2 linked regions of the Nothobranchius furzeri genome follow. The protein of the gene in region 1 binds, or shares a complex with, the protein of each later gene. Links are inferred from orthologs where the notes say so. Each region holds a gene or a part of one and is shown on either strand. Other genes may lie near its edges.

Region 1 (3,652 bases):
AAACTTAATTTACTGCTTTTCCCCTTCCCGTTTTTCCTCTCTGCTGTCTTCCTTCAGTTACGTCCATTGGTGCACCTTTGGTTCTTCGTTCACTCGTGTTAACTGGATGTTTTCCCCCGTTTCGTTTATCCTTTAAAGCTGATTGACTCTCACTTACTTACATGCCTCTGGAGCTTCCTGTTGTGCCTAAAGTTGTTGAAAGATACTGTCCTTTATTTACAAGGAGCCTATGACTTTGCCTCCTCTCCGTGCTGTTAGAACCACCTTTGATTTATAATTAAACTTCCACGACTGATTTGAACTGTTCGTCTGTCGTGCTGGAATGAGTTTAAAAGCATCGACTGGTGCACAAGTCTGAATTTATTGTACATTTTCTCTCTTCCTGACAAGATAAAAATATGTTATTTACCCTAATCTACTGTCCAGATCCATTCTAACTGGAAACATTTCAGGATGTTAAGAGAGAAAAGATCAAAGGAGGACTGTATTTATGCCATTTCTACAAATTCAGATTCCAGAATCATTAGTTCAAACAATTCTGGAAAAGGTCCTAATCCGTTACCCTCAGATGAAATGAAATTAGTTTGGATGTTCAAGCACCACCAAGGCTAAAGTCTACTTTAATCCAAAAACTGAATCTTGTCATCGTGGACCGAGGGTCTTTTGTACGTTTGTTCCAAATCAAATTCCATTGTTTGGTTCTTTTCTGAACACACAGAATTGATTTGTTTTTACCTTTTTTAGCTGATACGTTCTGGCTAACACTGTAGCCGTTGGTGGCGTCACTCCTTCTCTGGCAGGCAGCGGAGGACGATGTCGCCCTCCGCTGCTCATGTGGACAAATCAAAAGCCTTTTGTAGAACGGCTTTATGGTCCCTTGAGAGGAACGTTGAGCTATTTAGCCACTTTAACACAAAGAATGTTCGAAGGAGTCCAAGTGAGGATTTCAAACTTTATGTTAAACTTCGTTCAAGCTCCTTTCACAAAGCGAACTACCTTCAATTTGTCATTTTTCAACGTATTCATTACTTTATTGATTGATTATTGTGTTCTAACATTGTTTTATCAGGTTGTCCTTCTTCTGGGGTATAGGGATGAATTTCTACATGGAAATAGCCAAGCTGAGGGCAGCCAGGAGGTTATGGGCCACTCTGATTAAAGAAAACTTCCAGCCCAAGAACACCAAGTCCCTCCTGCTGCGCACCCACTGCCAGACGTCAGGCTGGTCTCTCACAGAGCAAGTAAACACAAACCTTCACTGTTTTCAATTTGCAGTGTTGATCGATTATTTTAAATATCTTGATTCCAAAACCATTTCTGAACAAAATGTAAAGTTGTAGCCTACTCTGATTGATGGTCACTCATTCTGCAGGATCCGTACAACAATGTGATTCGTACCGTAATCGAAGCCATGGCTGCTGTGTTTGGCGGCACCCAGTCGCTACACACCAACTCTTTTGATGAAGCTCTGGGATTACCAACGGTGAAGAGTGCCCGCATCGCTAGAAACACCCAGATCATTGTCCAAGAAGAGTCAGGCATCCCTAAGGTGGCCGATCCCTGGGGGGGCTCACACATGATGGAAGCTCTGACTGATGACGTCTACAATACTGCTCTGAAGGTTCGTCAAACCAGAGAAGCTTACTGAACATCGTTTTGGACTTTATGCAAGTTTGAGATTAAAAGACTCCAGTAACTCGGCGTGCTGCGTTTTATAGTTCATTAAAGACATCGAAGAGATGGGAGGCATGGCCAAAGCTGTGGCAGAGGGCATTCCAAAACTTCGGATTGAGGAATGTGCGGCACGAAGACAGGCTCGCATTGACTCAGGTACTGCAGACTGAAACGCTAACATGAGTTTGGGTTTCCTGTCTCGTTTCTTATCCTCGTCGCGTTGCTTTAATCTTTAATACAACGTTATGTTTTCATTTGTTCCTTTACGAGGTAAAACCTGACAAAAGTGGAAATGGCCTAAAGCGAAACAGGGATCGGCTTTTTATTTAGCTTTTAAGAGGCATTTTGACTGGATGGCAAAAGAGATGGTTTCAAAGATGCTTGTTCCCGAATTGGCCGGTTCGAGAGTCGGCTAGAAACGGAATCAATCTGGAAGTAATTCTTGCTTTATTGAACTCATTGTTTATAAACGTTGGCAAATCAGAATTTGACATGTTTTGAGGGTTTTACCAAGCATTCCTCCAAAGACACTCCTTCTTCAGATACAAAGGTGTTTAACACGTAACAAGTATCTTATTGTAATGTGTATGAGTGTAGATATTGATTAACTAGTTAAATCAAACACACACTGATCTGGTGTAGATGAGATCTGAAATGGATCATTGTAAGGGCAATATTCATCTTGAATTCATTGATTTAAGCACAGATTATTCAAACATTTGATTTAAACATCTTGTTCATTCAACACTAAGCTTATGGGTTGTAAAGTCATGTAGGAGCTTCAAGTAGGTTTGATTTTTATTCATGGTGAGGAATCGGCAGTCTGGCTTTTACAGAGATTGCAGGACCTTTGCGGGAGACCTTGAGTGAGAATGTTTATCACTCCTTGCAGCCGCAAGGACCGTGGCAAAGGTCTGTTTGGATTTGGGTGTCCAGACAGATGGTGTTTTTCTGTCCGCAAATGAAAGGTCATTATGTGGTCCATATGTAGGTGAAAGTTGACCACCTGGTACATTACTCCATCCGTCCATCCGTCCGTCCGTCCGTCCATCCATCCATCCATCCATCCATTCATCCATCCATCCATCCTTCCTTCTGTTCTTCCATCCATCCATCCATCCATCAACCCAACCAACCATCCATCCATCCATCCATCCATTCATCCATCCTTCCTTCTGTTCTTCCATCCATCCATCCATCCATCCATCCATCCTTCCTTCCTTCTGTTCTTCCACCCATCCATCCACCCATCCATCCATTCATTCGTACATTTATCCATCTTTCCTTTTCATCCATTTGTACATTTATCAAGCATTCCATCCATCCATTCATTTGTGCATTTATCCTTTATCCAACCATCCATACATTTGTCCATTCGTCCAACTATCCATCCATCCATCCATCTATCCATCCATGATGAGTGAATATTGTTTTGTAGATTTTTTTTTCTTTCTTTCTTGGTCCCTTATATTCTAAATCAAAGAAACAGGTCTATTTATCACTTTTCAACCTCCTTATATTTATGTTTATGGTTATTTATTTAGCAGACGCTTTTATCCAAAGCGACGGACAATTTTTAACCTATAGGGCATGTTGTGATCTGTGGGGGAAACCGGAGTACCCGGAGGAAACCCACGCATGCATGAGGAGAACATTCAACTCCACGCGGAAAGGCTGCAGCCGAGTTTTGAACCTGCAACCTTCTTGCTGCGACGGAACAGTGCTAACCACTGTTAGTGAGTGAGTAGCGGAGGATTTCAGCCCCACATCCCAAAAACAGAAAATGGATGGATGGATGTTGCATTTTTATAAAAAAATACTTTTTACATTTAGCTGGAAAATATTAAAATCTATTGAAGTAAAAATACTGTAATTTAAAATAACTACTACTAGTCACGTTTTCAGTAAAATAGCTCTTTTTTGTGTAAATGTTGTATACATTTACTTTCCTGATTTGACCCGACACGTCTGAATTTGT
Region 2 (3,652 bases), on another chromosome or scaffold:
CACCCACGACAAAATACAAAGCAAATGTTTTATTTGTTGGTGGAAATGACAGGAAACGTGGGTTTGGAGGTGGAGGAGAATGAAGGACTCATTTGTTTGTGTTTAAAGTCTGAAATACATAAACACATATCATGGAGCGGATACATGAGTGTAATGGTGGCATGATACCACAGAAAAGCGCTACGAGCTCTGTTGTGACGGACAAGTCCGAGAGCATAAAATCTGTCAATGCGTGTGCGTCTCTCCCTTGGAAAGCTGACAGAGATGTAGAAATCAGGCTAAAGGTGTGTAGGCCTCTTAGCTCTTAGCTTCTTCTCTAAGAACTTAATGACATCAGAATTGACGATAGAAAAACCCATCTTGGTCTATCTCTAGTGCAAAGTTAGCTTCACGCAAAAGGCAATGGGACAAAAAAACTTTCCAAATAGTAAAATTTTCTCACGATGGCTTTTTTCCGGAAGTCTTGAGGGATAGTCGAGATGTTCTCAACCCCTGTGAGAGGACCTTTGTACCCCCTCTCTTTGCTATTGATGAATTCTTACCCTAGCCATAAACCAAGTGAATTGCTTTTTGAAACCTTTTTGCTAATGTCATGTTGTCAGATTTTATTGGCAGTAACCGGGTCTAATGTGAATTATTTATTTCATTTATGACTTAAGGAGCTTTTTAACACAAGACCATGTTGGTTCGGATAGCTTTACCTGGCCTAGTGGTAGAGTGTCCTCTCTGACTGAGAGATTGGCGTTCAAGTCCCAGTCCGGTTATACCAAAGACTTTAACAATGGGACCCAATGCCTCCCCGCTTGACGCTCCGCTTTAAGAGGGGGGATAAACCACCAAATAGTTCCCGAGCGCGGCCAGAGCTGCCGTGCACCACAGCTGCAGCTCACCGCTCCCCACGGGGACGGGTCAAATGCAGAGATGAATTTCACCAGTGTGTGATGAATTAATGGGACTTTAACTTTAAACCCTGAAAACTGCTTTTTTGTTGTTTTTATTCAGGTTATCTTTGATATTGAAATGTATTTATTGATTATAAAAGTGTGACAAAAAGCCCAAACTAAGGGGGCAAGTACTTTTTCACAGCAGTCACCACCTTACATTCAGTTTAAGGTTTATTTCAAACACAAGCCTCACTTCTTTATCACAGATTATAAACTCATTTCGGCCTCTTTCGGCAGGGTCGCTGCTGGGTGATAAGACTCGTATGACTGAGCTTTCAAGAGACATGAATGCTTTCATCAGGCCGTCGCCAACCTCAGGAACGCTCGGCGGTGTCACTCGAACAACCAACGAGGCCATCGTTCTGTGTGAGGGGGCTGGATATGACATCATTCTAGTGGAAACTGTTGGTAAGATTTAGCAAGGTCCAACCCCAGCCACAATATTATTCCAAACTTGTCATTTTATCTGTTCAACTGTGATAAAAAAAATCTTTACATTTCATTTTAGCTACTCATTTATGCAAGTTGAATAGAAAGTCGGACTCCAGTTCCAGCGCTCAAAGTTTTTTCATTGTGATGGTGCTCTGAAAAAGTGACAGTCACACTAAGTATTTGTTGAAAGTGTCAGCACACACTTCTGGATTTTCAGTGACGCTGACACGCTTTGACGAGTGCGTTAAATCTGTGTTTCAGGGTAAAATTTATTCACTGTGATGAATCTCAAGTTTGTCGAAGTTCATGATTATTCAGAGGAGTTTGAGTTTTCAAACAGTCCGAAACACTTGTCTTCTACCCGCTTATTAGATATTTGTGTGTTTTTGTAGAAGTTTCATGTGTAAAAGACGCAGTATTCAGATCCCCTGGGCCTTATAATGTGTGCTTAGATGAAGACTGGGGAGGAGGAGTTGATACACGATAATCAGATTTTTCAGAACGTTTCGTGATACTTGGGTGATCCAATATGATGAGTTTAAAGTATTTTCATCACTTTTCAGGTGTTGGTCAGTCTGAATTCGCTGTGGCAGACATGGTTGACATGTTTGTGCTTTTGATTCCACCAGCAGGTGGCGACGAACTCCAGGTCAGTGAAACGCAACAGCAGATAAATTAAAAGTTAATACATGTTTGCCGTCATGCAACTACAAAAGTAAATTAATTTCACCTACATACATTTGGTTACAAATATTTTAAAAAAGTAAATAAAAATACAAAACTTAGCCCTGATTTGAATATGATCATTTTTTGACAAATTTTAAGTAAACAAGAAAGCAAAAATGTAACTTTAAAACTGCTTTAGTCATAACCTAACGCCATGGTATTAATGTCAAATTACGCTCATGAGTCTTTTTTTAAGTTGTTATTTATAAAAATGAAAATGCTGGCAAAAAACGGTATGCTAATTAGTTAATTAGCTTAATTAATGACTTAATGAGCACAGCTCATTATGATTCATATTATTGTGATTACAGCGAGACACTGAGGTGAGCTGGCATCTGTTTTAATAACAACCGTTGTGTTTTTTACTTCAGAAGCAAAGCTGTGAGTTTATTTAGCACAGAGGAAATGTGAAACAATGTCATTAAATCTTGGTTTCACATCAGATTTTCTTTACATTTATTATTATGAATTCAAACAGACATAAATTTGACCTGCGATGGATGCATTTAAAGTTTTTATTTTTTCAGAAAATTTTCTATGTGTGACAGTGCTGCTTTCCTCTTTCTGTCTTTTGGCATCAAATCAAACTGCATCATTTACCCGATTATAGCTTTCACTTTATTCTGGTATAAATACGTCATCAGTTCTAATACTAATTATTTAACCAGGGATTCAAGACTCTGTTAGGTGGCTGTTTGTTCTGTTTGTTTATTGGTGAGGCCAACCAGACATTTTAGTTGATGCCTTTAAATAAGGTACTTATTCTACTAATCATTACACTCCTGCCACCGTGCTTTACCACTAGGAGAGTGTATTAATCAGGTTATTTTAGCCAAACTGATGTTTGTGTATTTTTAGACCCTCCTACTCTCTCAGCAGAGCTTTTGTCATGCTCTGATGTCTCTCGCTGAAACTGATTCCCTCTAAACTCACAATGGATCCAAATCCCTGCCTTTAAAGCAACTTTAGTTCAAGTGCAGTTGAACGATTCTTTCTCTGCATTCAGTTTTCTGTCGCTAATGAATCTTATTAAATGTTAATTTGGTCACTTTTGTTCCGTAATGGGTTTGACCTCTTTTGTGCAGCGGAAATTGCAACTGAAGAATTGTCATATTCAACACTTTAAAGACCAAGTTCACAAAGAAACCGTTTTTTTACTTACAACCAGTCACTTTTGAGTTTCACATGTAGTCTAAATGTGAAAATAGTCTTTTACCCCTACTTCCTGCGTTAGCCGGAGAAAACGGGGAAACTCTGATTAGAAAAGCCAGTCTGATCTACGTAACGCTGAAAATTAGCATTCATGGACTCACCCATTTTAGCTTGTGATGGGAAAGGCAGTTGATGATTTTGCTCCCAGGAGAGAGCCAAGCACGTTTCCGCTAGCAGAAGCTAACTGTTAGCATTAGCAACTCCACCGCATGGCAGAACTCCTCCAGGCTTAAGTTATTTGTGGAGATAAAACATCACCGTTGCAAAGCAGAATCAGTGGTACAGTCATCTTGCTGTTAGCCAATCAGAGGCAAGATGTTGAAGTATCAGGAAACAAG

Evidence for each region. Proteins that work in one complex are often made in the same cells at the same time.
Region 2: the proteins of mmut (region 1) and mmaa are in contact, whole or in part, in a crystal structure (PDB 8GJU), measured with the Homo sapiens proteins. The link is inferred for Nothobranchius furzeri from reciprocal best matches to the Homo sapiens genes MMUT and MMAA. Residues at the interface, in NP_000246.2 of Homo sapiens: Lys496, Glu609, Arg610, Glu611, Gly612, Arg613, Arg614, Arg616, Ala635, Thr636, Ala639, Asp640, Gly642, Phe643, Asp644, Val645, Asp646, Ile647, Gly648, Pro649, Leu650, Phe651, Gln652, Glu656, Gln659, Gln660, Val662, Asp663, Ala664, Asp665; in NP_001362573.1 of Homo sapiens: Arg98, Ala99, Ala102, Glu103, Thr106, Glu109, Ser110, Thr111, His112, Ser182, Ser186, Gly187, Gly188, Ser189, Leu190, Leu191, Lys194, Thr195, Met197, Thr198, Ser201, Arg202, Met204, Tyr207, Ile208, Arg209, Pro210, Ser211, Pro212, Arg214.

The regions. Positions count from the first base shown.
Region 1 is NC_091742.1:21,795,257-21,798,908, reverse strand, and holds part of mmut (methylmalonyl-CoA mutase, mitochondrial), read left to right. Parts: intron 1-1,069; coding exon 1,070-1,241; intron 1,242-1,372; coding exon 1,373-1,621; intron 1,622-1,718; coding exon 1,719-1,830; intron 1,831-3,652. UniProt on the Homo sapiens protein: Catalyzes the reversible isomerization of methylmalonyl-CoA (MMCoA) (generated from branched-chain amino acid metabolism and degradation of dietary odd chain fatty acids and cholesterol) to succinyl-CoA (3-carboxypropionyl-CoA), a key intermediate of the tricarboxylic acid cycle.
Region 2 is NC_091744.1:10,732,529-10,736,180, reverse strand, and holds part of mmaa (methylmalonic aciduria type A protein, mitochondrial), read left to right. Parts: intron 1-1,181; coding exon 1,182-1,352; intron 1,353-1,939; coding exon 1,940-2,025; intron 2,026-3,652. UniProt on the Homo sapiens protein: GTPase, binds and hydrolyzes GTP. Involved in intracellular vitamin B12 metabolism, mediates the transport of cobalamin (Cbl) into mitochondria for the final steps of adenosylcobalamin (AdoCbl) synthesis.